Linked DNA regions of Neurospora crassa OR74A. The protein of the gene in region 4 interacts with the protein of the main gene of each other region in a pairwise test. Links are inferred from orthologs where the notes say so. Each region holds a gene or a part of one and is shown on either strand. Other genes may lie near its edges. The genes, in order: NCU01524, NCU08663, NCU08158 and NCU09004.

The links.
Region 1: the proteins of NCU09004 (region 4) and NCU01524 interact in binary tests that used the Saccharomyces cerevisiae proteins (3 or more experiments, as listed by UniProt). The link is inferred for Neurospora crassa OR74A from reciprocal best matches to the Saccharomyces cerevisiae genes TIF6 and BRX1.
Region 2: the proteins of NCU09004 (region 4) and NCU08663 interact in a protein complementation assay, tested with the Saccharomyces cerevisiae proteins (2 studies listed by BioGRID). The link is inferred for Neurospora crassa OR74A from reciprocal best matches to the Saccharomyces cerevisiae genes TIF6 and NMD3.
Region 3: the proteins of NCU09004 (region 4) and NCU08158 interact in binary tests that used the Saccharomyces cerevisiae proteins (3 or more experiments, as listed by UniProt). The link is inferred for Neurospora crassa OR74A from reciprocal best matches to the Saccharomyces cerevisiae genes TIF6 and YVH1.

What each region holds. Positions count from the first base shown.
Region 1 is NC_026502.1:3,190,998-3,198,834, reverse strand, and holds NCU01524 (ribosome biogenesis protein BRX1), read left to right. Parts: upstream 1-3,591; 5' UTR 3,592-3,742; coding exon 3,743-3,888; intron 3,889-3,966; coding exon 3,967-4,184; intron 4,185-4,253; coding exon 4,254-4,867; 3' UTR 4,868-5,411; downstream 5,412-7,837. Other genes in the region: NCU01523 (GTP-binding protein ypt3), read left to right, coding at 1,532-1,552, 1,680-1,692, 1,807-2,196, 2,278-2,358, 2,431-2,570; hda-1 (histone deacetylase hda1), read left to right, coding at 7,215-7,837. UniProt on the Saccharomyces cerevisiae protein: Required for biogenesis of the 60S ribosomal subunit.
Region 2 is NC_026504.1:4,178,240-4,186,313, reverse strand, and holds NCU08663 (60S ribosomal export protein NMD3), read right to left. Parts: upstream 4,548-8,074; 5' UTR 4,281-4,547; coding exon 4,219-4,280; intron 4,158-4,218; coding exon 2,660-4,157; 3' UTR 2,349-2,659; downstream 1-2,348. Other genes in the region: NCU08662 (hypothetical protein), read right to left, coding at 1-299; NCU08664 (tetratricopeptide repeat protein 1), read right to left, coding at 4,946-5,686, 5,765-5,884. UniProt on the Saccharomyces cerevisiae protein: Acts as an adapter for the XPO1/CRM1-mediated export of the 60S ribosomal subunit. Unlikely to play a significant role in nonsense-mediated mRNA decay (NMD).
Region 3 is NC_026507.1:3,568,945-3,577,242, reverse strand, and holds NCU08158 (dual specificity phosphatase), read left to right. Parts: upstream 1-2,692; 5' UTR 2,693-2,820; coding exon 2,821-2,867; intron 2,868-3,011; coding exon 3,012-4,281; 3' UTR 4,282-4,982; downstream 4,983-8,298. Other genes in the region: NCU08159 (hypothetical protein), read left to right, coding at 1-953, 1,017-1,461; NCU08157 (hypothetical protein), read left to right, coding at 5,426-7,828. UniProt on the Saccharomyces cerevisiae protein: May be directly involved in signal transduction and/or cell cycle regulation. It is necessary for maintaining growth rate or spore germination. Could show both activity toward tyrosine-protein phosphate as well as with serine-protein phosphate.
Region 4 is NC_026503.1:4,188,640-4,196,406, reverse strand, and holds NCU09004 (eukaryotic translation initiation factor 6), read left to right. Parts: upstream 1-3,207; 5' UTR 3,208-3,607; coding exon 3,608-3,642; intron 3,643-3,849; coding exon 3,850-4,008; intron 4,009-4,132; coding exon 4,133-4,679; 3' UTR 4,680-5,166; downstream 5,167-7,767. Other genes in the region: NCU09005 (hypothetical protein), read left to right, coding at 284-286, 543-1,405, 1,461-2,241; NCU09003 (hypothetical protein), read left to right, coding at 7,330-7,767. UniProt on the Saccharomyces cerevisiae protein: Binds to the 60S ribosomal subunit and prevents its association with the 40S ribosomal subunit to form the 80S initiation complex in the cytoplasm. Is also involved in ribosome biogenesis.

The DNA.
Region 1 (7,837 bases), on a different chromosome or scaffold from region 4:
CTAGGTACCTTTAGTGTGGAAGCATCTGATAGCTTTGGTGTCGCCATTACCTAGAGGTGAGTATATCCAATGCTTCGTTGTTGAAATCAACTTCGTTGGGCTTTTTGATTTGGCACTGCTACAGCTGTGTAGGTAGTGTACCAATAATGCCTTCGATCTGCTCAAGGACAAGAATGAGCTTGGAAAGTTGCAAGCGAGGGAGTACACCAAGCGCCGTTATTGCTGTCAATACAGTTGGATTTGGAAGAAATAAATAAAGATATTTAACCAAAGATGAGAGACAGAAACCATGCCAATCCCTGGATGGGTACTGTGTTTGGACCATTACGCTCGTGTGGATTCCGTACCTCTACTTGTATGCTATCCGTTCGTGCCCAAGTCTATGCACGTGAAAGTAAGCTGTGTACTAGGTATGTACGAACCCTTTTCGGCCATTCCATTTACCTAGCTGTGGTCTTGGCTAAGGTAGGAAGACGGGAGAAGACAGCTGGTATTGAAGTAACAAGTCGATACCTAGTAAAAGGGCATAAGTGGAGGTCCCAAGGGGGGGCTGGCAGCCCATTGAATGTCATAGACAGGAGGTACTGGGAAGAGCGCATACGAGGAAGTGGAAATGGGAAAGAGAGGGCAGTAACACAAAGGATTAGCCAGGAACGGGTTTATGGGTCTTGTTTGAACACAACAAGTTAATGTATTCCGAGTCCAGAGCATCGTCAACGCAATGCCGGCGCATGCGTGTAATTCTCAATAACTCCTGTCGATGTCTTCCATGTCTCGTGTCTTCCTCGGGGCGCGTCATCTTGACTGTTTGTCGCGAGGAAACCTCAAGTAAAGGAGACCTAGGTCCCTCTAGAGGTAGATAGTAGAGGAAGGTAAACACCTCAAAAGGTACTTCCATGGTAGGTAGCCTGAATGGGGCTTGGTACCTCAAAGAGCTTCCAGTGCCCGTGACACCCAACCACCACCTTACTGGCCCAAACAAAACGGTCATCTCCATTGTCCTGGGATACTAGTAGGTAGACAAAGCCGTCCGCGATCCCTGACTTGTTGGCCCACCGCTGTCCGCACCAGGCCATTGGACTTAGTCCACCGTTAACGCTACTGTCGCAGCTCTTTGACCCTCCAATATTACGCCGTCTAGCCCGCGTCCATTGACAGCCCGGTCTCTTCACCCGCCCATGGAGGGGGCCGTGGCTCACTGCAAATGTGACTTCAGGCGCATTCCATTCATTCGTTCGTTCCCTTCAGGGGCACTGCAGCACCCTCTGGCTGGCTGCACTTGGTTACCTTAGCTAAAAACTCGGACCCACTCGAGGGGAGCCGCACCGCCCTCCTTGGCCCTGCCTCTCCTGGACACCACCACTGAGCGAACCCGAACTCACATACATCGCATTGCCCTTGACTTTGTCTGCATACAGTACAACTATCAACGCGACAACCACTTGCCAGACATTGCCTCAGCCCATCGCCAGCTCGCCGAATTCCAGCATACCCTCTGCCTCCAGCACCTCTGTCATCACACACCGCAACCATGGCCAACGACGAGTACGATGTAAGCCCGCCTCCTCTTTCTTGCCGTCCGCCTGCCTATCATCCATCTTGCGTCGATTCGATATCCTTGTTAGGACGTGCCCCCTTTATTCCGCCCGCTTGCGCTGACCAGCCTTTAACTGTCACAGTTTCTCTTCAAAGGTACCGCAAGCATACCCCTCCCCAGAAGCTCTGAAGCAGTCGCGACGATGCGATGACGGCGACGACGACGATGGCAGCGGCAAATCAGTTACTGACTGCAGATCCCGCTACCAGTGGTCCTCATCGGAGACTCGGGCGTCGGAAAGTCCAACCTTCTCAGTCGATTCACCCGTAACGAGTTCAACCTCGACTCCAAGTCCACCATCGGCGTCGAGTTTGCTACCAGATCCATTCAGGTCGACTCCAAGACAATCAAGGCACAGATTTGGGATACTGCTGGCCAGGAACGTTATCGCGCCATCACCTCTGCCTACTACCGCGGTGCTGTCGGCGCCCTCCTCGTCTACGATATCAGCAAGGGCGTGACGTTTGAGAACGTGAACCGATGGCTGAAGGAACTGCGCGACCATGCCGACCAGAACATTGTCATCATGCTCGTGGGTAACAAGAGCGATTTGCGGCATCTGAGAGCCGTACCCACGGAGGACGCCAAGAAGTTTGCCGGTACGTTGCGCGTCACAGCCATGATGACATGGTCGCTTGGGAAAGCCGTATCGCCAGGATGACTGACAGAGAGAACTGCAGAGGAAAACCACCTATCCTTTATCGAGACTTCGGCTCTCGACGCCACAAACGTCGAGCTTGCGTTCCAAAACATTTTGACTGGTAACGTTTGCCCAAAGCCTACAGCTGCTGCTCTGGCGCGAGCCTACCGCTAACATGCGATCATTTATCTAGAAATCTACAAGATCGTGTCGACCAAGAACTTCGACAACGGCCCCAGCGGGTCCAACGAGGGCCACCAAAACCTGTCTGGCCAGAGCATCTCGCTCAGTCAGACCGCGAACGACCCCCAGGCGAAGTCTGGCTGCTGTTAGGAGGTGCTTGATTCTCCGGGCCGGGAACCGAGTGGCCCTGAAGGGTTGAGGTGCAGGGTGCAGCAGAGTACAACAGGGTGCCGAACCAACAACGGCGTCACATATGTCTGACATGAAGCAATGGAGGCTTATGATGAGCAATGAAGAGCAGCATCGGGGGAAAAGTACGGACGGATCCTGCCCAGTCTTATTACATCACGGTCGCCGATGGGATGGTCTGTTTTTCTTTTTCTCTCTATTTTTTTGGGCTTTTGGGGAGGGGGGAAAGGATCATGATGCTCGTCTTCCAGCCTTTCCTTTTTGTTGTTATTACTACTACTACCCCTTTCTTCCCTTTTCCCCCCGTGCTGGTCGTTGGAATTTTCCTCAATGTGGTTAACGAAGCCATCACTTGCGCATGGATTACGAAAGATATTATTTAGTTGAAATGAACTATGGGCGATAAACAGCCCTTAACTCAACCTGGTACATATTGCTCCACGTTGTCAAGGTCTCCATCTATTGCATCCACAATGTGGGAGAAGAGGAGTACCTCGAGAGTGAGTACCTATGTAGCGATAATCGTGCAGGATCTCGTTATGACATTCAAGTTGATTATGTGCGACAGCGGGAAACAGTCAATACAAATTAAGACATCTGGGCTTGCCTGATGGATTATGGCGACTGTCCCTCATTACTCCCATCGCGTCACCCGAGGCGGTTGAAGTGGGTTTGAGTGCGGACAAGAGGCCAGTCCCGTCCCATCCCCCACTGTAGGGCAGACAAGAAGAACGCGTGGAACTTGGACAGTGTGTGTAGGCAATGGAATCCCCAGAACTTGGGGGTCCGGATTCCAGGTTGGGTCCATCAGTGGGACAAATGCGGGTTGCCCAGACCGCCGACCGCCTTTCAGCTGTTCCAAGCAGGGGGGCCGGAACAGGGACGCTAGTAAGATAAGAGAAGCTTATCGGAGTGGGGCTGCGATTGGCCGGCGAACTTTTTTTGAGATGGAACAGCCTGCACTCCATCACTGCGCTTCGCCCGCGACGTTCGTGGATTGGAGCATTGAATTCACCTTTGCAATCCGCATTCCGTTTTTCTGCCATCACTTCCACCACAACCACCACCAACTTCAGTCACCCTTGTTTTTCGCCCGATTTTGATACCCAAAGAACGACAAGAACAAAAAGAAAATGGCCGCCGTTTACAAGTCGCTCTCGAAGAGCGCCAAGAAGGTCGAGGACACGGAGAACGACAACAACACCACCACCACCAATGGCGGCTTTCGGAAGAACAAGCAGAGAGTTCTGATTCTCTCGTCCAGAGGCGTTACCTACAGGTACATATAGACCCTGCATACCTGCAAGATGGAAGAAGAAAGGGTCAATTGCTAACCGCCTTTGCGCCCCGAGTACAGACACAGACATCTCCTCAACGATCTCGCAGCGATGCTCCCCCACGGCCGCAAAGACGTCAAGTTCGATTCCAAGTCCAAGCTGTACCAACTGAACGAGCTTGCCGAGCTCTACAACTGCAACAACGTCATGTTCTTCGAGGCGCGCAAGGGCAAGGATCTGTACATGTGGTTTAGCAAGGTTCCTAACGGCCCTACGGTCAAGTTCCACGCCCAAAACTGTGAGCACTATCCATATCCGAGATACGCATTGTGAAAGAGGAAAAATCGGGTTCTAACAAAAAGCACAGTGCACACCATGGAAGAGCTTCACTTCACGGGTAACTGCCTCAAGGGCTCGAGGCCACTCCTCTCCTTCGACCTCGCCTTCGAGCAAGAGCCGCACTACCGCGTCATCAAGGAGGTGTTTCTGCAAATGTTTGGCGTCCCCCAGGGCGCGCGCAAGTCAAAACCGTTTATCGACCACGTCATGAGCTTCAGCATTGCCGACGGCAAGATCTGGGTACGCAACTACGAGATCCGAGAAGTGGAGAAGGCCAAGGGCGAGAAGGACAGCGAAGGAAACGACATTGTCCCCGAGAGCGACAAGTCATCATCGAAAAAGAGAAAGGGCGCGCCCAACGCGGAGCTCAAGGACACAGACGTCAGTCTGGTTGAGATCGGACCTCGGTTCGTCCTAACGCCCATCATCATACAGGAGGGCGCGTTCGGCGGCCCCATTATTTACGAGAACAAGCGCTTTATCTCCCCCAACCAGGTGCGCTCGGAGCTGCGCAAGGCCAAGGCGACCAGGCACAACACCAGGGTGGAGCAGGTCAAGGAGAGGCTCGGCAAGCTCGAGACCCTCACGGCCCAGGCGAAGAAGGAGAAGGATGTCTTGGATACCCGGGAGCTCTTTGCTTAGAGAAAGGAGGAGGAGGGGAAAGAGAGAGAGAGAGCTTTTCACAACACGATTTCATCACGTCTGTTCGCTTGCGACACATCAAAGCAACGCACGCCTTAGGTTTAGGGGTAATCAAGGAGTTTTTTGTACTTTTGCTGGCTGGCTGGTTTGGTCTGGTTCGGGAAAAAGAAAGGAAATCGATTTGCATTGTACAACATTACAGTATTCGTGGGGATGTGTGAGACGGACGAGCTGTCCTCTTTTGACAGTTGGGAAAGAGGATCATGATCGAGTGGTAGATGAGCACTCAGCGTATAAGGTGCTGGCTCGAAAACGGACACATCAGATCAAGATTGAGTGATGAACGCCGTCCTGGCTCCGGTCTTGGTCGTGTTGAAAGGAGATGGTCAAAGAAGGGTAGGAGAGCAAGTACTTTGCTCGGCACCTCACTAGCGGTTGACTGTCTATAACCACACTCCTGAGGGAGATGTTGTTCGCATAGGACCTAGACTCTACCTTAAATGCAGTTGCGCTGTGAGATATTGTCTCACATTTTTGCTCCATGATTTGGGTTGTTTCCATATATATAAGAGACACGAGGTGTCTCTTTCGTTGAGTTGTTGGGATGATATCACCACCTTCAGTACACTCCTCAAGGAGAAGAAGAAGAAAAAGTACCATGTTTTGTCCCAAGGTAGCTTTGGGCGACATCGTCCCAAATTTCAGATTTTCTGACGGACTAGCCATCTTCTCAGGGGCTTTGGGTCGTCTAAGTCATGTAGTGTGCCTGGGAGTTGGCGCGAGTTTGGTGCTTCTTGAAAACAAGAGATAAGGACTGGAGCCGATACCTAGGACGTCGCTCCTTAAAGCGAAAGACAAATGGCTTGAGTCTAATGTTGAACACGTATGGCTAACGCTTTTGATCAAAATTTAGAAGCAAAAAAAACGACTCGGAGTACTTTGGTCATGACTCAGGTTCACTCATCGATATCGGAGGAGAGAGTTGAGGATAGGTTGTAGAGGGTTCACTTCACTCATTGTGAAAGTTCGCTACAGGGGACCTGTTCCCTCCAGAACACCAGTGGGGGAAAGAGCGGGAGGCTCCGGCCTATGGTACTTACCTCTAGGCCCCCTTGCGTGCCTGCCTAGCGTATCTTGGGCACCTAACTAGGTGGCATGTAGTGCCTGGCCCCGAGATTGCCAGTGCCAATTCCCGCCCCATTTCAGCGCTGCTTCTAGTTCTCAATTCCAGTCCCTTCTAAACTTCAACACCACAATCACACCTCCAACCAAACAACAAACTGAACACCTCCCGATCCGTCCCCCCCAAACGCCTCAGCAAAGCACTTGAACGGGCACTTTCTACATCCCACTATCCTTCGGCATTGTTCCGCCTTTCTCTTTCGGCACACTTTTGCGCATACCTCGCTTGGATTTGATTACATACACGGTCTTTCTTGTTGTTTTATCTTTGGCTTCCTTCGTTTTCCAAAAGGCATGCACCGGCGATTATTCCATAAGCTAGGTAGGTAAGCCACTCTCACCCATCGTTCCATCCCCAATCTCGGCCGCCGGTTTGGTGTTGCTCCTTCCTTCCTTTCTCTCCACCTTGATTGCGGCAGCGCGCCCTCAGGCCACGCGGAATCTGCTTGGAGAAGGCGTCATTGGAAAGCTCAAGATATCCTCATATCATTCATGTCATTCATGTCTTGGGGTTCTGCTTCAAGGGTTTGGAAAGCTTCGCGGCGCAAGTGTGTCCGGCCCAGGTCTGACATAACCGCTTCACTCCTGAGACGCTCGGTGGTCGACACAATCATCCATATATACACTCCCGCAGCCCACCTGACACATAACTCTTCCTCCCTTGGATTATGTTTCATGAAAAAGACCCCGGATAACGTGCTCCCGACGGCAGAAGTCATAAGCGATGACTGTTGGATATCTACTGCTTCGCATATCCTTACCCTCTCTCTCTTGACAATAGTCTCTTGCAGTCTCAACTTCCACAGCCACTCTGACTTTCAGCCTGGCTTTGGGTGCGGCTGCTTGCCATCTGCGCTTGTGGAAGCTCCGATGTCTACCGTTCAGCGGTTTAAGGGTTTCCCTGCCCAAGGACAGCCAAGATCCCCCTTGCCCTGCTCATTGTTTGTTATTTCTACCGCAGCACCCATGCCTCTACCTCTCAAGCAGCAACTGCTCTTTTGCTTTGTTGTCAGATCCCAAAAGACATCCTAACATGCCTTCGATTCGTTTGTCTAGTCATTCACGTTGCGTCCTACTAATACGGTCACGTAGGTTTCAAGAGTTGACACCGGCATTATTACTTTTATCCTTCACATAGTCGTCCATCTGGACGGACCATTTCAAGATGGTCGACAACGACAATGATATCGTGATGGACGGCCAAGACACTCATCCTGCCACAATTGACGTGTCGGCAACAAGTAATGGCATCACCAAAACAGAACCGAATGGTCATGATCAGTCCGCGCCAGCCAACGACGAGAAGGAGGAAAAACTGGACGACGAGAAAGATCCCTTCATCTATCCGGCTCGCCTAAAGCGAAGAGGTCTCCTTCCGACAGGATGCTGTTACGACGATCGTATGAAACTTCACGCAAATGCCGACTTTGGTCCAAATCCCCACCATCCCGAAGACCCGTCTCGTATCGAGCATATCATGAGGATATTCAAGAAGGAAGGCCTTGTGTTCACTGGCGACGATGAGGATCTCAAGAAGGTCATCCGCACCGACCCGAGGAGGTACATGTGGCGCATTCCGGCCCGACACGCAACCAAGGAGGAGATCTGCATCGTCCACCACCCTGAGCATTTCCGATGGGTGGAAGATCTGTCACGGAAACCGACATCGGAGCTCCGGCGCCTCTCGACCATTATGGATCAAGGGAGAGACTCCCTGTACGTCGGCAGTATGACATTCGAGGCAGCACTGATCTCAGCTGGAGGTGCTATTGAGACCTGCAAGAGTGT
Region 2 (8,074 bases), on a different chromosome or scaffold from region 4:
CTTGCCGTCGGGCTTGTGGTCACCGTTTGCGTGGCCGTGTACTTTTTGGTTATGGTGCGTTCCTCTGTAACCGTTTGCTCCTCGTTGTCGTCTTCGCCCTCAGCGGCGGAAGGATCGTCATCGTTAAACCTCCCATCATCGCCCATATCAGAGTCACTGCCGTTACCTGACTCGTCTCCGGAACCCGAGTCTTCTCCGTGGTCTTCTTCTCGTTCTATGAGCCGTTGATGAGTGCTGTATCTTCTTTCAAAAAGTTCCGACGGAGACATGCTACTTCCTCGGTTGCTGGCTTTGTCCATCGATTGGTATGTCGTTATCATCGCTGTCAATACCACATTGCCAAGTTGTCTGATGACAGGTTCATCAATAATCAACCTTCAAGTTCCCCGAATGCTGTTCTCCTGATGAGTCGTTCGTGCTTGAAAGGAGTGAAGTGGTTTGGTATGGGTCCGGTAAGGCTTCTTCTAAGCCACATCTGTCGACTGGCTATTGGAATAATTGTTGGAAAAGAGTGAATGACGAGGGATCCAGCAACCGACTCAAATCTGTCCAGGTGTCCCCGGGAGAGTATATGTTTTGCCCATTTCCCCGATCAATCACCGCCAGATATCAAGATCACTTCTTGCATCCCGTCTATCCGGCCGGCTAGCAACAATCACGAGGGGACAAATGCGCTTATCATGGACATATAAAGACAAAGAAGGGCGTGGCTCTCTCACTGTGAGGCATCAAGTGTCCTTCAAGCAATCTTGGAACAAAGAAATGTATACCTCTCTCCAATGTCTAGAATTTTTCAAAAAACAAAGCATCAGGATCGAACAGTCGCACGGGACGGGAGCGAAGGAGAAAATAGAACAATGCGCCACACGGACGGTAATCGGGTCATGTTGCCTGCTACTGGCTGTTCATAGCATTTGTTCGTTTCCGTAAATATTTAGTAGTTGAAGAGGTTTTGTCATTTCGATCGCTGTTTCGTTCGTTCAAGAACGGAAACTAATCAATGTTTATGGTTGACTGAAAAAAAAGACCTGTTTGTTCTTGTCTGTCCGACCCCTGTTATTGCCCGGCAGCCTTGGGCGAGGGCCGATGCTGATAATGGTCATTGTAGATGAACAAACATCTCAGCATGCCGGTTTTCTTTTTTGCGCGTTTCATGCCGTCGTTTAACATGGCTCGAAGGTTTTTTTCGGACCCATGGATCTGACGATTCTCATGATCACATCTCAAAGTACCAGTAGGGGTTTAGGTCTTCGCCTGATTGTAGGCCAGAAGGAACAATGCCGGGGATGTTCGGAATTGAAGTTGTCGGAAAAGAAGTGGTTCGGGGGGTCCAGGATGATAATTGCGAACAACTCGCCCGTGGCATTTGAAGGCTGGTTGCATCGAAAAATCCTGGTTTGGGACAAAGATACTTAGCAGAAGTGCTGCAGAGTTGAGTCCTGCGCGGCGAGCAAAGCTCAGTACTAGGTATGTACCGACGGTAGGTTGAAACCGTGACCAGTTTGAACCACTCGCTTCTGCCGGCTTTTTGCGACTTGCTTATCGATTCTCACAGCGAGCCAAAATTCCTGGGAAGTATTTGCCCAGAGCTGCTCCTCTTCCCGGCAGGTAGAAAGTAACTTGCAGGAAAGGAAGGAGCAAAAGGGAAAGGGGAAGAAGTTTCCGTGCGGGCTTCGCACCTTCCTGACCAACACCCGCCAAGCCAAACTCTGACTTGAAGACGGCCCGGGGATGAGAACGATGGATTTTGAGATAACCTAAACACCAAGAAAAGAAAAAAAAGAAAAGACCTAGTCTCTGAAAAATGGGACCCTCGAGCCAAGAAACCCAACCTATCACGAAGTAAACAAACCCCCTTTTCCCTTTTTGCCTTTAGCCCACCTACTACTGAACCCCTGACCCATGTCACACCCAACCCTCAACTCCACCACACAATTCATGAACAATTCGTGCTTTTCCGGTTCAAGAACACATCCTCTGGTGACAAAAGCATAAAACAATCGGAAGCCATCCTTCATCGGGTATGGTGTAGCGGTAACATCGTTGACTCTCACTTGTTTACAAGTGTCTGTTTTCTCAACAGCCCCGGGTTCGACTCCCGGTATCCGAGCGATAACGATCAACCTTCTGGTTCTCTTTTTTTCGTTTTATTTTTTCCATCTTTTCTCTTCGTTTCAAAGTTGTTCCTTGGCCCCCTCTGCATCGTTGTGAAACCCCGCGCATTTTGTGATATGTTTTCCTTTTTCTGGGGTTGTATGCTTTGGAACCTTTGTCCGGACTCGAAATAAACCTGTTTTCATAATTGATGATGACCGAAGGCGACAAGATAAAACAGACGGATGGAAAACATTTTGAGCAGATGTGTAACACTAGGCCTTGACTGACCAAGATCATCGTACATGACAAGTTGCACATCTTCGTTGATTTAGTACTTTGACGGTCGTAGCATCCTTTCAACCACGTCTATGCATTCACAACTATAAAGACAACAGAATGTTGGATGCAGAGGGCGCCAACACGGCAAGCCCATTCCCGAATCTATTCATGAAATGCCTTAAAAACGCAAACCCTGAAGAACAGCTAACTCCCAGAATTTTGATTTACCCCGAATCCCAAAGCCATTCACATCCACATATCAGACTCCAATCAAGATCACATCCTACTCCTTATCCTGAATCTCCATTTCCTCAAAGTCATCGAGGAGCTCGTCCATGCTGATCTTGGGGCCATCCTCCTCAGCCTCCGTCATCATGTCGGTATCGGCAATGCTCATGGCATCCGCCTCCCTCTTGGTCTTGAGCGAGTTCTTGTACAGAGCAAGAGCAGCACGAAGCTCCTCGTCCTCCTCGACATCGCGCAAGAACATCTCGTACTCGGCATCCATCTTGGCCTGGTCCGAAGCCTTGGGCAGCAGCTCGCCCTCGTCCTTGGCCATGCGCTTGAGCTTCCAGTTTCTCTTTCTGTTGCGGCGGCGGTTCGGGTAGTGCTTCTTGACGAGAACAACGTCAGGGATCATGGAACCGTACGCCTTGGAGCTCTCAATCGCCTCGAGCGCGTCCGAGTTGAAGTTGGTACCCTCGAGCATGTAACCCAGCACCGAGTCACCGGCGTGGAGATGCTGGCCGAGATGTGTGCGAGTGAAGTAGACGTTGTCGTTCACGCCGAGATCGGAGGCACGAGCGACCTGGACCTCGGAGAGAAGCCACTTTCCTTTTCGTACGCCTGTGGACTCGATGTCCATAACGATAAACTCAACAAGATCGGGAGTGCCGGCAAGCGGATGGAAGGGAGCACGCCAGTAGATATCGGCGCTGACTTCGGCGGTCTGGAGGGTGTTGGGGTCGAGAAGGTTGACAGATGTTCCTATCCTGTGGCAAAGGACAAGGGGAGAAATGTTGCCAATGGACTTGGCGAGTTTGAGAGGAAGGGCAACCAAATCGTCTCTGCAAACAGGCACGATTTCGACGGAGTAGTTGTACTTGTACGACTTGTTGCCGGTGTGTGTATCCGCGGAAATAAGATGCCTCGACTCCTTGGTGAGAACTGGTACGACGGACTTCAGGAAGCTGATGAATCCCTCGGCCTGGTTCTTCTGGGCAAAGTAGAAATCGATACCGTCCTTCTCTTCCTTGATGTTGATTGTGTCGCGATGGGCCTGGTGCCTGAGAATGAGCTGTTCGAGGAAAAGGAACGTCCTCTTGTGGGTGACCTTTTGGCGGACCTGTACGGCGGCGCGCCAGACGTTGGCTGTGTATGACTTGGCGCAGTCCTTGCACTGCTGGCTGGCGACGACGTAAGTGACCTCGAAGCTTTGCTGCATCAACACACCATCCGCCACCTGATCCTGAACCGTAACCTGAACCTTGACTCTTCGCGAATGGGGTTCTGTCCAAATGAACCTGGCGTCTGTGATGCGGACCTTGCCCAAATTCCTCAGTTTCTTCAAGCATAGCGACAACAACTCTCTCGATTCGGGGGCGGCTGTGACCCAGCTGGCGGGGGGTAGGAGCCATCTGTCGCAATCTTTGCAGAAGTGGAGGGTGGCCTCGCGCTGGATGCCCTGGGAGATATCGACGGTGGACTTGATGCAGTCGTAGCAAAGAGCGCCGGCGGAGGATGTGCCATCGATGGGAGCGCCGCAGTTGCAGCAGAGAATGCTATTGGTGGTGTCAGCAATCATGCCTTCGATAACCTTCAGTCTTCATGGTCAAAACTCACGTAGCACCTGTCCTGGCAGAGCCCATCAACGGGGCCATGGCCATAGGAGCGTCGAGATCCATGATTAATGAAGTTGTGGTTTGCGACAAGATATGAATCGGGGTATCAATTGTAAAAACAAACAAAAGTCGCTATGTCGTGAAAAGGAAAACCTGGGAGTTCCGTCGCAATCACAAGTGAAGTTGCTGCGGATGAGAAAGAAGTTGACGACTGGAAATTTGAATGGACCAGGACGAGAACGAGTCGCTGGGGGGGAACGTTGGAGGCGCTGACGGGACGGTCGTCAATAAATTTCTTGATGGGCCCAGCACCAAATCGCCCCGCGCTGCATTGATAAGCAATTCGTTATCGGCTATCGGCTACCGTGGGTACTTAGAGGTATTAGCACAAGCCAGTGCAGCAGTACGTACAATTGTGGCGTTCTACTGCCGGCTTTGCCACACCAATAAATCAGCCTCAAAACTTATGGAGCTTTAGCTCCGGCCAGCTGTATTGCAGCTGTCGGGTACGAGCTCCTGATCATCTCCCCCCCTTGTCGATCTGTTGACATTGAACTGTCGATTCGTGTTGACTACTGGTCGATAATATTTTCAGGTGACTGGAAAATCAGCTTTCCCAGTCAGAGGTGCATATGGCTGGGTGACTGGACTATCAAGAAGCCATTCATCCTCAACCACGACGCTGGTAGGCATCGCAAGAGCCCTGACCCTCATTAACTTTCACAACATTACTTTTTGCCTTCGCCACCACCTCCCTGGAAATTCATGCTGTAACCACCGGTCTTCTCATCCTTCACCATCTTGAAATGGTCAGTGCTAAGACCAAACGGCTTAAGCAACCCATTCCCAAGGTCCTTCAACTTGCCCCACATTTCAGCAGTCTCCTTCTCCTGAGCAGCCTTGGCCCGGGGCGGCAGTGCTCTGAGTTGCGCCTGGACGAGCTTTCGGTCGGTAGCCGTAAGGTTGGTCATGGCAGATAGCTTCTTGTAATCCTCGATAGCCCCCTCGAGGGTGGACCATCCACCCAGCTCGCTCCTTGCCCGGGCCCGGCGTAGCAGAGCTTTGGCCCGTATCCTGGCAATATCCTCTAGTCGCTTTTGGCGGGCAATCTGCGCTTCAGTTTCCGTGACAGGAACGGCGGGTCCGGCCTTTGCTGCACCAGCGCTGACAATCTCCTCTTCGACATCTTCCTTCTCCTTCTCTTCCTTCTCGGCAGCCAGCTTGTCCTCCCGCTCTAGCTTGTCAAGCAAGTCCAGAGCTTTGGTTGCGTGCGTGATGGCATCCTTCCAAGCTTCCAGCATGAGGTGACAGGCGGCCACGTTGGAGCGCAAGACGGCCAAGGGGTAGTCCAGGTAGTTTGGACAAACAGCAATGGCTTCGTCATATTTGTTGAGGGCGGCATCGTATTTGCCCGAGGTGAAGAGGGCGTTTGCCTCTGCTTTGTGTGTGTTGGACTCAGCTACCAATTCCTGCTGAGGCGGTCAGTCACAGAGGTTTGGGCATCAAGAGGGTCTTTGTTGTTGTTGCTTTTGGTCGTGGGTACTTGCAGCCTCTTCTTCAGGTGAGAATTTGATATCGGCCTGCTTGGATTCATCATTTTCTTCCTCTGCTTGAGGATCCTTGACCTTCTTCTGCTCAAGCTTGTCATCAGGAGTTTTGGAACTCATTTTCAAGGCAGGTTTGTTTAAAGTGCTACAAGGTTGCCGGTATCGGAATGGTAGTATCTTTTCAGTAGCTCGGAGTGAAAGCTGGAAGGAGGTCTGTAGAAGGAAGGCGTTTTGCGGATGAGATAATGGGACATGCGAGATAAGAAGCCGCGCGCGGACGGAAGCTGTCAGGGGCGGGCAGCGGGCATTTACGCAGGAGCTTGGGCACGGCAGCTACCTCTAGGCATTGCAGGTCTTGGCAAAAGTGGACCTCTACACTACGTCTGTTGGTATCGGAATCCGAAGTGAAGTTATCTGGTACCAGTACTGGGAGAGGGGGGTGTTACAAACTCTTCGCGAATTGTCTTTGGACAGTTAGGAATTTGGTGACTTGTACTTAGATCCCTCGCGCGGTTTAAGTATTTGAATGTCCCAACGTTTTTTTTGCAAAATGTTCGGTAATTAATTGACTATAACTTGACAGACACCTGATAGTCCAAATTCTTAAAATGTTTGGATATCCGGACGTTTCGCTGGGCGGGATTGTTAATTGATAGTAAATTGGCAGTCGTAACCAGTTTAACATTGGGGGTTCCCGAGGTGCCTAAGTACAGATCGAAAGACCCCCCCCCTCCCAGTACGGACCTCATTCGATGAAGTCACTGCCAAACAAAACAGCTGGCCACTGACTGCACTGGATTCACTCAGTCGTAATTCCGTTCGAATACGACGTCAGTAGTAAACCGTTCATAACCGGGTAAAAATGCGGTGAAATGGAATAATCAGAAAATATTCGTTACCAGGAATTCCAAGTACCCGGCATGTTATGGGGCATTCTTAGTAGATACCTAGATGCTCTGTCTTGTCATAGCAGCCGCTTACTGGAGCGTATAGTCTATCATATAAGAGTGTTCGTCCCGTCAACCTCTATTAAGGTTAACGGATTATTAATTTATATTATACCAATCTTACATCTATCTTACTCACACTCAGTAAAATCGTATACAAGGTTCTAGGTTGAGGTTCGCGATAGCTCTTATCTTTAATTTCCTTTAACAAGATTATCGTTAATTATTATACACTATTACTCTATCTAGCAACTAATTACTTACATTATTATTCTCTATTATTACTACTTATAAAGCACATCTTCGCGTAATAAGTAGTATCTATAATTTAGTTTCAAACCAACTTTATTATTCCTTACGTTTCTTCCTTTCGTCGAAGGGGGAGATATATTAAATCTAATAACAATTTATTAAATTTTACAACCATTATTCAACTTTTACCCTTTTAAATTAAATATTTATACTTTTACTCCTTAAAATCCCCTCTTTTCTTTATTATTTTATTACTACTTATTCCAGTCTAAAGGCTAGATTGAATAATATTAAAAACTAATTAAGCAAACCCTTAAACGGCTTTTAACCTCTAAGAAGAAAGTTTAATATATAAAGTATATTAAATTATTAAATTTACTACGTATAAGCCGCAATTTTACTATAAGGAAAGATTTTAACCTTTAGCTACTAAATTACTTATTAAGGTAGTATAGTTATACTTAAATAAAGAAACCGGCTATATTGAAATTAAACCCAACTAATCCGCTAATACTAGTAATAATATTTATAATAGAGGATGGATTATTAATTTAAATATAGCGGACCGCAAAGTTCAATAGGTCCTACGTAAATATTATTAATTGGTTGTTAATTATCTAGTCCTAATATATTAAAATTAACTATTTACAATTAAAGAAGGAGTATCGTTATAATTACGGAAGAAGAATTAAAAATAATTTATAGCCCGAATTAAAGCGAATAATATTACTATTAATATTACCACCCAAATACCTATTCCCCCTAGTACTAATAATATAAACGTATACTCCTCGCTAATAACTTTTTCGGATATTATTAAAATAATTAATATACTAGCCCTTATTAATCTAATATAAATTCCTATACTACCTTCCTTACTATCTACGCCTATTAAATAATATATTTAATTAAATTTAATTTAACGACCCTTTTCGCCAACTAAGTTAATAATCTCGTAAATAAGCTTAATTATTAAGATTACTACTAATATTACTCAATAATTAACTACTAATCCTACTACTAAATATTTCGGAAATTTCGTATAAGCTGAAACCCTCCTACATTTAGTATAAAAATAATAATAAGAATAAATAAATTAGTATTTAAGAAT
Region 3 (8,298 bases), on a different chromosome or scaffold from region 4:
GGGCTTTTCACATCGGGGTTTGCCTCCTCGCCCACTACGGCATCTCCGCTTCCCAGCCCGTTTTCTCAAACAGGACAACCAAGCCCAGCTATTGTCGGGTTTCGCCCTACTGACGGGTTCGACAACAGCGGTTTCAACCGTGCGCCGCCACTGAGGGCGCGCAGGACAAAGAGCACGTTGATGCTGGATGACGGCTTTCTGAATACCGAAGACGACGAGGACAATGACTTTCCAATGGAGGAGACGACACGCATGCGGACTCTGAAGATCGAAGATCCGTGGAGGGAAAGGCAGAGGGAAAACGAAAGAGAAACAGAGAGCGGGTCTTGGCAGCGAGGACACAAGAGTGGGCCATCACACTATTCGCCATCGCAGCTGTACCATGCGGGGAGAGACATGGGCGGAGACAGAAGCTACTATCAATCCGGTCAGAAGCGGCCGGCCTCGCCCACGCCAATTGATAGATGTAGTGACACGTCAGGCCTGAACAGGGGATCGCCTACCCCGAGGCTGACTGTCGTTTCACAAGGGTCTGTCTCTAGCTTGTCGGCTGCTAGTCGCAGCGGAAGTTATATTGGCAATCTGACTGCTAGCAGCATAGCAAGTAACAGTTCGCTTGGCCGTTTGTCTCCCAACGGTGTATCTCCTGGCGGGGTGTCGCCGACAGACGTGATGGGTAATGGGAGCCCGTATGCCACACCCATCAGCCTCACCGCTTCACCAAGATCGTCGATCAGCCGGACAGGTGCGGCACAGTCGCCGCATCCTAGGATTTCGGGTGACTATACGCAAAGATCGGTTGACCAGTCCAATAGGACGCTTGGGATTTCGAGGAAACTTGCCGAGATTCCGAAAAATGCTAGCAATATCGTAGCGGCTAAGCTCAAGGGCCCATACATGTGCGAATGCTGCCCGAAAAAGCCCAAGAAGTTCGACACGGAAGAGGACTTGAAGTAGGTTTTGCATCATTTCCGCGCAGCGACGCACGTTACTAACCCAGACACTTTTTCCACCAGGCTACACGAAGCAGAGAAACAGTACGGATGCTCGTTTTGCGGGAACCGGTTCAAGAACAAGAACGAGGCGGAACGCCATCAGAACTCCCTGCACGTCCGTCGTCATAGCTGGTCATGCTCAGCACTTCAGACATACGATCGTGCATTCCACGACAGTAGCACGAGGCCAGGCGAGGCTGATACGTGTGGTTATTGTGGTGAGGAATTTGCCCGTACTGGACGTAATGCTGCAGGCATCTTTGCTAGTGAGCAAGATTGGGAGGACCGTATCCGGCATCTACAGGACGTGCACAAGTTCCGCGAGTGCAATGCCAGCAAGAAGTTCTTCCGCGCAGACCACTTCCGGCAACACCTCAAACACAGTCATGCCGGTACGAGTGGGAAATGGACCAATATGCTTGAAAACGCTTGCATGATGGACGAAGGACCAGCAGTCCCTCGTTGAAGCGGGAAAGCAATATGTGGTGATTTTGGATACAACGAAGCAACTGGGCCTTGCTATTTGGAGAGGCAACGGTTGGGGGTGATGGATGGTATCATTTATGGCTGTGACATGTTGGTCAGGTCAGATATCGACATGCAGAGCGGTATGAGTTCAAAGATCATGCGGCACAAGGGGCCGTGGAGGGAAAGGACGTCATCTAATTGGAGCATTTACGGGATTGAGGATTTTTATCGGAGTTTGGGTGTGAAATTTTCAGCTGTAGGGTTGCGGCGTTGCGTGCGGGACATATCTCTGAAGGCGCAGGCAAAAGTTGACACATCGTCTTTGGTGTGGTCATGGTCAGGAGCAGCAACCGATGTACTTTTATGGGAGAGTTGATAGCGGCAGCGGCTGAATAGTAGCAGTCGGAGAGCAGACTTGTAGTAGCGAAATGTGATAATGTCAATATGAGTGATTTGGAGGAAGAATGGACTATGATACGGTCTGGAATGACTATTTTGCTACTATCAGATGGATGCTCTTTCAGGCGGCGGTTGGGTACCTCTACATTGTTGTCTGTTTGTTGTGGGCGGAATGTGAGACAACTTGCATGTCTTTTCAGCCCTACAAGGAAGCGGGCGCCGTCAGGTTACCCCACTGCCACAGCCCTACCAAAAATGTCTGTGATGGATTTTACAAAATTGGGGGGTTGGTTGGTTGCTTGATTCGTGCAGGGCAGTCGGTCGCTTTTGTTTGTCCTTTGCCCTGGGCCATCCCCTCTGTTATCCGTCGTCCTCTGACACCCAGGGTTTCTGTTTGTCACATTTTGTGTCAGCACACATGGACAATCCAAGGTACCCGCATGATGGTACTGGGGGTACAACTGCCCTGCCCATGCCCGAGCATGCAACGCCTATATCGGACGGAGATTGAATGACCAAGGTTCGCGATAGGTAAACAATCGTACGGTACTGGATGCATAAAACGGTCAGAGTATGTTTGCCCGTTCATGCCGAGTCAAGGGTACAATACCGTGTGATGGTAAGATACGGACGACAAATACATACTTTCACTTGGCAGGAACCACGTATTCAATACGCTCACTGTACGGTACGCCGTTCCATGTACTGTAGCTCTCCATGTACGTAATGGTACATGGCTCGTATCCACGGTAACCAACCCATTTCGGGAATCCCGCAGCGATGAGGGGCAACAAATAATTTCGAAATTTACAGATACGCGACAGAAGCTGGACGAGCAACCCGCCTTGCGATTGCTTCACAAACTTGACGTGCTGGATTCTTTGGTAGCGCCAAATCGAACAGAACCCCAAAGCCCTTCGAAATATCCCAAAGTGACTGCCCGGAGAGACCGGTCGCAATGGCGCTAAATCGCATCAATGGGCGCGAAGACCTCTTCGTAGGAGGGTAAGTAAGTCGCACGCGACCATCTCCGTCCGGACTCTCTGTCCATCCATCCCATCCTCCTGTCGCAATAGAGCTTGCCTTGCTTTTCTTTGGTTTTACTCGCGAGAAGGGAAATGAACTGACACAGTTGTTTTACGAGAACAGCATCTTCGGTGTCAACCGCGCCCGCTTAATCGAAGAAAACAAGATCACGCACATCCTATCTGTCATCAACTACACCCTCCCTGCCGACCCCGCGTTTCGCAATGTCCAACATCTTAGCATCGACATTGACGACGTGGAGGAGGCCGATATTTTGGTTCACTTCCCCAAGATGGTCCGCTTTATCGAGCGCGGGTTGTACGGTGACGAAGCAGCTTCGATAGCATTCGGAGGGGATAATGCGCCAGTAGTAGTACCTACACCCGCGAGCGCGAGTGCAAAGATCAACGGCGACGACGAGACAGCGCACGACGCCGATGCCATAACCGCCGCGCCACCCATCACCACCACCACCATAACATCACAACAACAACAAACAAAACCCGGCGCCGTCCTAGTCCACTGCGCCATGGGCAAATCTCGCTCCGTCTCCGCCATCGTCGCCTACCTCCTCTGGAAACACCCGCACCGCTTCGGGCGGTCCGACCCTTCTACGCCCGCGCGCCGCGCCGTCACGCAGGCCATCAACTGGGTACGACAGACCCGACCCATTGCCGAGCCCAACGACGGGTTCATGGAGCAGCTAGAGCTATGGTGGACCATGGGCTGTCCCCTCGAGTCAGGAGACGACGCGGTCGAGAACCACCCTGCCTACCAGCGGTGGCTGTACAAGCGCGAGGTGGAGGACGCGACAAGGATTGGCCGGGTGCCAGACTGGATCCGGTTCGAGGATGAGGAGGCAGCTAAGCTTGCTTCTGAGAACAACAACAAAGAGGCGGAGGCGGGTGGTGGTGCGGCGTCGCTAAGTCTAAGATGCAAAAAGTGTCGAAGAACACTGGCGACGAAGCCGTTTATTGTCCCGCACCACCAGGGGAAAGGAAACAAAGAAAGGGACTGCGGACATTACTTTGTCGAGGCCCTGTCGTGGATGCGCCCGACGCTGGAGCAGGGCGAGCTGGAGGGCAGACTAACGTGTCCGAACCAAAAGTGTCTGGCGTCCGTGGGGAGGTACACATGGCAAGGGTTTAGATGTAGCTGTGGCGACTGGATCGCGCCGGCGTTCTCGCTGCAGAAGAGCAAAGTGGATGAGGCGACGTCGGCGCCGCATCCAGGTGGTGCCGGTAGGGGGCCTGGCGGCGGCGGTGGTGGGGCAGCTGCCGTGGCGGCGAGGATGGCGGCGTTGGGGATTAGGATGCCGCCTGGTGGTCTGGCTGGACAAAGAGGAGCTGGGGAGGGCGCGGGGGCGGCAGGTGGACCTAAGGAGAACCTATGAATGGATTCTTCTTTTGTGGGTAGAAGTCCATGGCTACCTACAATCTATCTGCCTTTGGATCCTGATCATCCCATCGATCCTTGCCTCGCAAGCTGCGGTGGTATGACGCGGAATGATGCCCTAGAGGAGTTATACATTGCCTGACGGCCTCTGCGAAGAGGATGCGTACTTTTGGGTTTTCTGTACTGGCCTCGCAGGTTGTCAACCAATGTTCAGAGCATCTTCCACGTCGGGGAAAAACACCCAGGAGTATACACACCCCAGTGCGGTCCACAGCAAAGTCCCGTCGTTGAGGGGATGAAGATACCACTCCGGACATCTAAGTGGCGGATCATGAACACTGCGTTACGCCTTTGTAGAACACGAGTTCTCGGCCAGGCAAGTGACGTAAGAGGTTTAGGAAGGGCTTTCCTATGGAAGGCTTATGGTGACAGGAAGATCAGCAGGAGCATTGGATCAGATGCCACCTTGTGCTGAGTACCTAGTTTAGGCCCTTTGATGCTTCAGTTTCCCTCCGAGGATACAGTTACACCTGGGGATGAAGTAGCCCATCATCCCTTGCCTGAGATGGGAGAGAGGTGTAGATTTGAGATGTCTTATGGATTCCTGCTTAGAGACCTATATACCAGTGACGTGAAGTCCATATTTGAATATACGCTACCTCTAGGCATATCGTCTGTTTTCAGAACTTGACACTCAAGAGGAAAGATAGGAACTTTTAAAGTGCCTGCTATCAAGGTTCCCATGAACTCAGGTCGGGAGCTCCAGTAGCACCTTCTCCAGGGCAGTGGTGTAAACGCACTGTCCTCGGCGGCCGAGTGTAACCGTGCACCTCCCGGCAGAACTCGATACATTCACTGTATTTTAGTGTGAGTGACCCCTACCAATCCCTCGGCAGGCTCCGTTCCCTGGGATTTTAAGCTTTCCGGCAGATCTAAAGGGAGCCCCACCTTGACGAGTCCACTGCTGCACGCGTTTCCATCCATACCTTGGGGTTACCTCTACACCTATACTATCAACAAGCACACACTCTCTCCACAGCTTCAGTCTTCACAGTCCACAACAACATCCAGGATATCTACGCGAAGAACAAAGACAACACACAATACGTGCTATTACAATTCAACCGGCTGGCCTATTCAAAATGGCCACCGACTCCTCGTCAGATGAGTCCGACCATCAAGATCATCACCTGGACCAAGACAAACACAATTCGGACGCGAGCAACGACAGCGAGTCCGGGTCCGACTCCGGCTCTGACTTGGCGTCCAATTCGGAAGCCTCTTCGGACTCGGATGACTCCAGCGATGAGGTCTTTTCCTCAGAAGTCTTGACACGTAACAGTAGGGGTATCCAGCTTCTGGCGTCGATGCTCGACCTCGAAGCAAGTGAGTCCCACTCAAGCGAGGATGAAGACGATGACGACGACGACGACGACGATGACGACCTTGCCGAACACATCCACGAATACCCCAACTCTCGCCAAGCCAGGCGCAACCATCACCAGTCTTTCCCAAAGTTTGCCCTCTTGCCTTATGAGCTACGCCAGCGCATCTGGGAGATGTTCTGCCCCGACCTGACGGCAAAGTCACGCGTTTATGAGTTCCGTATGGTCTTCCAACTAGCTAACCTGCCCAACAATCCGCTGGAGGTTTGGGAGAGTCATATACTCGAGCAGCAAACGGCCCCCGCCCGTGTCATGTCGGCTGTTCACCGAGAAAGCCGCGAGCATGTGCTCAAGAAATTTCCCGACGTCCTCACCTTCCGCAAAGGCCGAAACACGATCCGTTGGGATTGCAAGAATGACGTCGTGATTTTAGGCGGCAAAGCCCCCCCTCCCTTTTGGCCAATACCAGGCTTTTCAGATCAAATTCGGAACCTGGCGCTCGACGTCGAGCTACGCCGCTGCCTTGATACCTATCTGTTATCGGAGCGGCCTGAATACGAACAATACTTCAAGGAATTTTGCCCTCAGTTGAGCAGGGTGTTCTGCGTCATTGACGATGCCGATTGTCCGGCAAGGCTTCTGCGCTGGTGCGCAAACAGAGAGAATCGCCATTATTTTGTGCGAACCCAAGAAGAGGAGCCAGGCGTTGGAGAGGATGCTGAGTACATGTATTGCTGGCGCAACCCCTCCAGGACACGCGAGTTCGCTGTCGACAATAGCATTCCTGGAGGTCTGGGCGATTTCGTTTCTCGATCACTGGACTACACACAGAAGGGAGGCACCGACACAGAAAATATATTTCAACCCCTCATACGCTTCTCTTATGAAACCGGCCTCCGGCGCTTTGAGAAGATCGTCAAGAAACAAAATGATAACACCGACTGGAGTTTCTCTGACAATGATTTGGATGACGAGTCAGTGAATGAGGAGCCCGATGAATATGAGAGCTCAGGGATCGATGATTCCGAAATCAGCGAGGACGGGGGCACGGGGTCGGAAAGTGGAGATGATCTTGTCGTCGTGACAGATGATAGCGACCAAGAGGAGGAGGAAGCTTCGAGCGATGAAGAAGAACAAGGGCCATTCCATGCAGCACGTTTAGCTAATTTTGACAATGGCCCCATCGAAATCCTTGACGACTCCGATGATGCGTCTCATTCTGGACACAACGCCCATCAACATCCTCACCTCGGTCCAAGCGACAGTGCTCGCTTCTCCAGCATGGAGCCGTCAGATTCCTCGACGCTGGATCATGAGTCAACTTCATCACCCCGAGCTGGACCCTCTCGCTCCAAGGGCTCCGGCAGAAAACGGGTTCTGGAATCGGATTCGGAACAGGAAGAGAATCACGATGGACCACCCAGGAAAGCAGCGCGTATCAGCAATGAGAGTCGACGCCGTGCCCGCGCCACGGTTGTGCTTTCGGATGATGAGGATGAGGATGAGGATGAGGATGAGCAGATGGGCTACGAGTCGACCACAGAGAAAAAGAAAAGTCCTGAGGGCAGTAAGGCTGGTGAAAGACCCAAAGACCACGTGGTCATCTCGGATGACGATGAAGACGAAGAAGAAGAGATGGTGAGGCGACGACGCAAGCAGAAAGCTAAGCATCGTCACAAGATCGTGTCAGACGAGGAAGAGGAGGACGTAGAAGAAGAGGAAGAAGAGGAGGTAACGATGCCTAAGAAAATCAGATCCCGTCGCCAATTACGGCCCCCGGCTTCCGATACAGATGATGACGAGGACGAGGACGAAGAAAACGGATCATCCACGAGCGATAGTGATGACTCGGACTCGGACGACTCCTCGGACGAAGAAGACCTCCCCGCCAAGCCTTTGACTCTCGCAGAAAAGCTGGAACTCCATCGCCGAAATAACCCTATCCCGGACTCAGACGATGATAACGACAATGACGACGACGACGACGACAACAGTGTTAGCGGGGATGATTACGATGGGCGAAACTATGCGGATTTCCAGGATGACGAAGAGGGGAATGAGATATCGGGTGAGGATGATGACGAGGATGAAGATGACGAAGGCGGGCTCATAATTGATATGGCGGACGAGGAGGACGAAGAGGATGAAGACGAGTATTAGTACATACTTGATACAGGTTTCACCGCAAGAAGGACGCTGTGCTGATGTTCCTCGTCTCCACGTTTGGCTTATGAGGAGCATGGAACTTTGAACAAACTAAATATTTTTCTCTCGTTGTAGCCCGGAGGTGGTTGGAAAGACGCAGCGTATATGGTTTCGCCCGGGTATCATTACATCGGTTTCGGCCGTCAAGAGGAGGATAGAAGATATACAGATTAATGCTTAACAGTTTGTTAACGCAAGACTTGCAACGTCTTGAGACAAGGGAAAGAAGTAGGGATTATGGCGCTGCTATTGGTCCACACCACGCCAAAACCAGACTAAGAACAACTGTTGATCATGTCCCACCAGGTGTCCCACACTCATGTACACTACCAAAACTTGACTCCATTCACAGCGGTCAAGGCCAGGAATACCACCTCCAAAAGTAGTCAATAGCCCTCCACAAGTACCAAACCAACGAACTTGAC
Region 4 (7,767 bases):
AACGGCCGGGTCTAGTGTGTACACTACAAGATGATCGGCCACTCTACAATCCTTTCCACTTTCAACACTCTTTCCTCCGTGATCATTTTGACATTTGACATTTGACCCTTGACTTTCGCCTTCTTTTTCTGCACATTTTGTTTACTTGAACCATCTCTTTTTTCAAGCGCTATTGTGCCACTCCTATCTTTCGCACGCTGGTCTGTCTTGTCCCAGCCGGGTTCTATTCCTTTTACCTCCCCGCTTGCGCCTCCCCCCCCTGGTCTTTGTGCCCTCAAGCTTCATGGTAAGTTGCCCTTTCTGATATGCGCTTCCACGGCCCCCATCCAAACCTAACATATCGCCGCGTTATCAAACCTGCCGCTTCTCTGCGCCTTCCACACGCACTGGCGCCTCGACATATGGCGTATGAGCCCAGTTCGAAGCTGTAAGCTTCTGATTTACACCCAGACCACCTCGCTGCAGGAACACATTTTCTGGTGTCTTGTTACCTGCGAGTACTACACCTTAGTACTAACTTTCATCCTTCTCTTGTACCCTAGTCCGACAGTCGACCTCTAAGGTCGCCCTGGGATTCGGAATCTCGCCAAAATAACGCCCAACCCGATGCCCTTCCGCCGAGATCTCCCACGGCGATATCCCGAGAACGATTTGAGGCTCTAGAAAGATTCCACGACCGCATCAGTCGCAACCTAGCTCTCGAACAGGCTGCCTCCAGGGTGCTCGCTCGGTCCAGGATGTCCTCCGGCTCTGACCGGTCTCTTCGCCGGCGATTCAACCAGGATTCTCAACCCTCTAGCAGCTTTTTGCCGCCTGCCATTCCAAGTTCAACTTCTTCGACCCCTACCCCACCCTTACTTCCGTCCCTTCGTTCGCTTGGCTCAAGGGTGCGACCCGGCGTGTCGGCGCCCGGAGGCCAGAACGGCCGCCCTTCCCGTTATTCGCCCTTTGACCGGGCAATGGAGAGGCACCGAACTCATATGAACCCTGCCAGGGAGCGCAGCTACGTGACGCTCGGCGAGCTTCAAGACTCGTCCAGCTCTTCACAGCCTTCGCTCTTCGGTAGGAACACTCCTCCTGAGGATATGGAAGAACTAGAAAACTTTCGGCGCGCAAAGCGACGGAAACTGGATTCCGACAAGGTATCGCCAAGCTACAAAAATATTCTGTACGGAAAATACGGCCAGGTGGAACCCGGTCCGCTTCTTTTGGAGATTGTTAGCTGTGATGGTGGCTTGTTCAGGGATGGACGGGCCTATGTGGCGGAAAACATCCTGAAAGACGACGCTTCGGTTTATTGCACAAGGACTAATCGCTGCAACATCATACTACGACATCACGGTGGTACTGTCTTCAGCTTGAAAGAGTTGGTCATCAAAGCACCTGGTTCACATTACTCTCAGCCGTATGTGTTGTCTTGTTTCGGATATCTTTCGATTGCCTTGCTGACCGGTCTCTAGGGTCCGAGAGGGCATGGTGTTTGTTTCGATGGAACATGATGACCTGTTGAAATGTACAGCGCAATATCAAATTCAGTATGAGCAACCAGCGAATCCACGACCACGGACATCACGCGACACTCCAACAATCTACTCGGTCCGACACGACGACGATGGACGGATCTACCCCTCGAGATATCGACGCGATTACATATCAGATCTGATCAACACTATAGATGATGATGATGACGATGATGAAGATCAAGCAGCAGCCGCGCTACCTCCCGAGTTTTCGGCTGCATCCCAGCCTTTCAATGTCACGACCGAATGCAGTGATGACGAAAGCGAAGGAGACGAAAATCATTTGCGGCGTAGGCGAACCCCCAACAGGATTGGTGCTTTGCCTTTTGAAAGCGACAGTAGTGATGACGGAAGAGACCCATGGAACCCCAGCGGTTTGGACTGGACTGATCTCACTCGTGCGCGACACTCTGCTAGTTGGCGTAACGAATACGACACGGGAACCCCCGAACTTGAACGAGCGCGAGAAGCCTCGCAGGTGGCCACGCAGGAGGCGGTACGAGCCGTTGGCGGAGCGCTTATGTCTCCGCTGGCCCAATTCTACATTGAGAAGGACAAGAACAAGTGTACCATCAAGTTCGACCCGCCGGTGAGCGCGCGGTACATCCTGCTCAAGATGTGGAGTCCACATCCTGACCCTCTTAAAAATATTGATATCCAGGGGGTTATAGCGAAAGGCTTTGCTGGTCCGCAGCTATTTCCAGCCCAAACACTGCAATGAGACTGAGTCAAAGAAGGTGATCAGTTCTTGCAAGGCATGCATCATCCGGCAAAACGGGGTTGGCAAAATAAATGTTCGCGTCGTCTTAAATAGACTACTGGTCTCACGAGACTAGTGCTTGACGGTCAGCCGGGGGCAGGGGAGTTTGGAGTTTTGGTATAAATGCATCTTGTTTAAAGGCGATGATACTTGGATGATGGCTTTCAACGGTCATGGGAATTGGTATCAGCGGGTTATATGGAGGTACCTCACGGCATTATGGCAAAGTGCGCTTTCTCGTCAACTGAACCAGATGTTCCCCCAGCCATACGTTCCCTCTGCTAAGCTCATAACCCAAAATGACAACCGGGCTCCCTTAGCCACACTTTGGTTGTTCTCATTGTTGTCCTGTCGCTACATGGGCTGACGAGGAGAGGTTGTGAATCCGTGGGTTAGGGTTCATCATGAGCCGAGCGGACGAGTTCAACAAAAAAAGATAAGCCAAAATGAATTGTCCGGTATGTCGGCTTCTGGCATCTATGTCTATACCACCAGGATCCTGTGATCTTCTACACAGTACACTGCAACAGCAACTTCATTACATTTTGCAGAAGTTGAACTGTTGAAACAAGCCCCAGTCTATTCTACTACGCCCCGCAAGTGAGCCTCTTTGGGTACCTTGCATATCGCAACAATGATGAATCATAATGAAAATGGCGGTAGTGTACACTACCAAATGGGAAAGCCACTGCAAATCTGATTGGGCAAACAAGCTTTAGGAGGCGGTAATGGGGTCGGGTAGACGTAGAGGATAGCTTCCATGTCGCTGTAACATAGTGGGCTGTGTGGCAAGCCTTTTGCCATCCCGAGGGTGGCTAGGCACTGCTCGCGTAGCCTTACGAGGATTGCTCCAAAGTGTCTGAGTCACCGGTGATTGAAAATGAAATTGTATCGATGCAAGTGCACTAGAATTTCGACAAACTCATACTTCTCGATGGCAAAAATGGAAGGGTTTGAGTAGAGAGGTTGGGTTGGTAAGCCGCATGTATGCGTCCATGTCTTGTTGTTGAAGGCAAGTACTGGTACATACATCTGTAAGGGTCTTGGTACCCGCTTCCAAAAGCTGTGTGGTTCTTCCTCAGTCCAGATTCCAGATTTGATAGCGCCCCACTTTACACATAGCCTGGAGTCTGAATCCAGATTATATTTTCCTTCCATCGCCCACCCCACCAGTCGTCATTCGCGAAGCAGCAAAACGGCATTCTATACCTCCAATCTCCATTGCTTCAGTCGCATAAACTCAATCTCTCCGTCTCTATCGGAATACCACTTCACCCACCAAGTAAAGGAAGCCCACTAGGAGCACTACACAAGAAGAACCGAAGCCATGGCTGTCCGCGCCCAGTTCGAGAACTCCAACGAGTAAGTTTTGCTTGGCCTCCACGTTCCGAGATGGGGAATCGCGATGCGAAAATCGAAGATCTGCCCCGCCTGCCACCGACGACGACATCAATACCATGCTTCGACACCGCGACAGCAAGGCGACTCTTGAATCTGAATGGGGGGCGGAGGGTAGTTCTTCGGGATATCAAGTAGCAGACGCGCTAACATTGTCTGCTTTCTCAATAGGGTTGGAGTCTTTTCCACACTTACAAACTCTTACGCTTTGGTCGCCGTCGGTGCCAGCGAAAACTTTTACAGCGTCTTCGAGGCCGAACTCCAAGATGTTATCCCTATCTGCAGAACCACCATTGCCGGCACAAGAATCATCGGTCGCTTGACAGCTGGGTAGGCGCTTCTTCCCTCTGCATTTTTGATTGAACTTTTAGTCCCAAGTATCGGAGGGGGCGCAACCGAGAACCTGATTATGGGACATTGGTAAGCTAACCACGAGTAAAAAAAAAAATTACAGTAACCGCAAAGGTCTCCTCGTCCCCACTACCACAAGCGACCAGGAACTGCAACATCTGCGCAACAGTCTCCCCGACGACGTGCGCATACAACGTATCGAGGAGCGCCTGTCGGCCCTGGGCAACGTGATTGTGTGCAACGACCACACGGCGCTGATCCACCCGGATCTGGAGCGCGAGACCGAAGAGATCATTGCCGACGTGCTCGGCGTCGAGGTGTTCCGCCAGACCATTGCCGACAACGTGCTCGTCGGTAGCTACATGGCGCTCAGCAACCAGGGCGGCCTCGTTCACCCCAAGACATCCATCCAGGACCAGGACGAGCTCAGCTCCCTGCTCCAGGTACCGCTGGTGGCCGGCTCCGTCAACAGAGGTTCCAACGTCATCGGCGGTGGCATGGTGGTCAACGACTGGATGGCCGTCACTGGTCTTGATACTACGGCGCCCGAGCTGAGTGTTATCGAGAGCGTGTTCAGGTTAGGAGAGGGTGCCGCGCCTGGCCAGATCAACTCCAGCCTCAAGGATACCATGGTCGAGTCTTTCTACTAAATCCAATGGTTTTTCTTTTGTGGGCTTGTTTTGGAGTTGGTGTTATCTGTGCTTGGTAGGCAAGGAGAAAGGAAGGCAATGTGTGAGGCAGGAGGGAGCGGAGGCGAGAGATGGATGTGTAGGAGGCGGGATTCTTGTCAGGTATACCAACGACAATGGGTCGTTTCTGACATGCATGCTCAAGCGTGAGCAAACAAGGCGATTTTTCTTCCAATGAATGGTTCCTATGACTGGCGTTTTTGCGTGAGGATATGGATATGTGTGAAGATGACCGTGGTTGTGGCTCGGCCTGGATTGCGAGATTGCTTCGAGTTTTGGAAATGCCATCTGGAATGAAAAAAAGCTTCCAGTTGACATGGCCATGGCCGTTCAGAATAATCACGAAGTATAGATACTCTTCGAGGTTCAGTTAACATGTGACATATAAGTCCAGAACGCGGGACCAATGTCTTTGGGATTTGGGGCAAGGCACGGTTTTCTGCCAAGGGTTAGGGTTGTACTGGTAGTTCTTGGTTCACCTGTCATCCAGTGAAGAAGACCAACTGAAACTCCAAGCTCGTCCCCTATGCTCTATGACGGGATCATCACCTCCTTTTACGAATGCAAATCCAGACGCCAAGCGAGATGCCTCTTGAGACAATTCCCCATCATCAATGTTTACAAAAAAACCATCATGCAAAAACACAGTACGGCATGTACCACACCCGATGCTGCCTCGAGTGCCAGGGTTGGTTGCGATCGCGGCGGTTGCCAGCAAGCAGCGGTGATGCAGTGTTTCATCATGCACGATGATGTGGTTGTCCGTTCCAGGGACTCGTGGGACCCAGCATTCGTCAACACTTTGTTGACCTGACATGTCCATATGCATAGAATGGGGGGCTATAGAATGCGTATAATACCTACCACGAGTCCAAGTCCACACACAACGACATGGTAATCCACGGCGGCTACGTATAATGTCTCACTCGAGAATCCTGCTTCTTCTTCTGGAAACGGCTTGGTATGTGATGGGTGGAAATAATTTAAACCACGCAGCTTTATTCCGCGATGCCCTGACCGTTGAGAGACATGCAGCTTGTGGCAAAAGATGCGTGGACTAAACTACTAGACTTAGTCATGAGTGGAAATATCGTTCGGGAATATTGGTTTCTTTTGAAACGTCAATCTGGGGGGTTTTTGGTCAATTTCCAGGAACGTGAAATTCGACGAAATTGCACAGACCCACGAACCCGTCTGATAGTCAATCGGCAGGTCCGATCTCGATTCTCCGCAACGAGCAGCTTATAGGCTTAGGGCTAATTAGTTTTCAGCGTTGTTGTAGATGTGTATGAAGCGTGTGAGAAAATCCTTCATGAAAAAACAAAAACTGTAGATTGAAGTCGACCCAGATCTCAAAAGATGCACAAGTGCTGCAACTTCAATTGCACAAAAACACTGCCAAGTGCGTGCCACGCAGCCGCAGTCCGCAATGCCGGGCCGGGGCAGGTGCGGGCCAATCGGTGGAATCCTTGTCGGTTTCTGCAGACGTCAGGTTGCCAAGGCTTCGAAAAAGAAGGTTGGGAATCTCTAGCTTCTTCACGACCCCGGAAAACGGAAAAGAAAACAGGAACGGAAGTGGAAGCCTGTCCCGGCTTAGCGAACCCCTGGAAGTTCAATTGAAAGGTGGACGCCCGTGGCTCTGTCTCCTATCCCGCGATCCCTGTTGAGGACGGTGGTGTGCCCCCCAAGTACCTACTCTGGTGGTGGACTGCCTGGTGGTGGTGGGTGGGTGTGGTGGACTGCCCGTGGTGGTGCCGCCGCCGCGTGCGCGCAATCAGGCAAAGTGGAAAGGGGAGAACGGGACCTCGCTTCGGTCCAAACTTCTCCAGACCGTTGGACCGTTTTTTAGTTTTTTAGTTTTTTAGTTTTTTTTTTCATTTGGGTCTAACCCCTTGATATTTTCCCGTGGTTTTGGTTCTTGGATGGCTTTAGTTATCGTCAATTCTTTTCCTCTATCACCGTCACGGTTCGAACTTCCATTTCACCCAACCCGCCTGTTCGGACGATAGAATCTCGTGCGCCTACATCGGCCTACACCTCTCCCGAGCCAATATATCGGTCAAGACTTTGGACCCCTGAAATAAGCGCATGAGCCACGGCACGCCAGCGGCATATACTACTCTTCCGCCCCGTCCACCTCCGCACCTCTTCGAAGCCCGCCCGACTCGAGTTCATCTTTGACCCAAGGCACTCCCCATCTTGGATACCAAAACACGATTTTAGGATTCCCGCCGCCAATTGCCACCCTATCCACCTCAGCTACGCACCGTGGAAGCTGTGGAAGCTTGTTGCATTCCATTGTCTTGCTTTGGCGTTGAAACTGGTCTCAGCCCCAGACATCACCCCCATATTGTGCACATTGGCCAGCCGAAGCAGTCAATACTCTCTCTCTCTCTGTATTCCTAGAATAACACGGTGGTAGAGGAGCCGGACATTCGGTCGCCTGGACTTGAAGAAACACTCCGGCCCCGCCAAACAGGACATAAGCCGACCGGCCAGACCAACAACGGCTAGATTCGCCTACCAGGGACTACCAGGGGACACACAGGAGAACGGACACGGGACCTCCAGGGATACTGTGGCAGCATTCCAAACTTTTACTACATACATCATGCCCCTTAGACCCAATCCTGCTCTGCCCCCCTCGCAGCCAGCAAGAGACTTACCGCCTCCCCAACGCCCCATTGAACGTCCAACACCTCCTCCCAAAGCCCTAGCCCTGCGAGGATCGCTGGATAAGATCAGATCCGTCAGTTCAGAGCACAACGCCGTCCCCCCCAGAGTCCCAGAAAAGCCGCGCATAGTGCCCGCTCCACCGCCTCGCCCATCCTCGACCATCATCCTCCCAGCCCCCTCCACCTTGGCCCCCTTGCAAGAGTACCACAGCGGGTTTTCTGAGCAAGACGCTGAGTCGGGCTCGGGTCTAAACAAACATCGCCGCGGGTCATCGTTCCCGAACCTGATCGCCCTCACCTTTGGCACCGAAAACCAGCCCGCCTCCTCCTCCTCGGAGCAAACCGACAGTTCCCAAGGAGCGTTTGCCGACTGG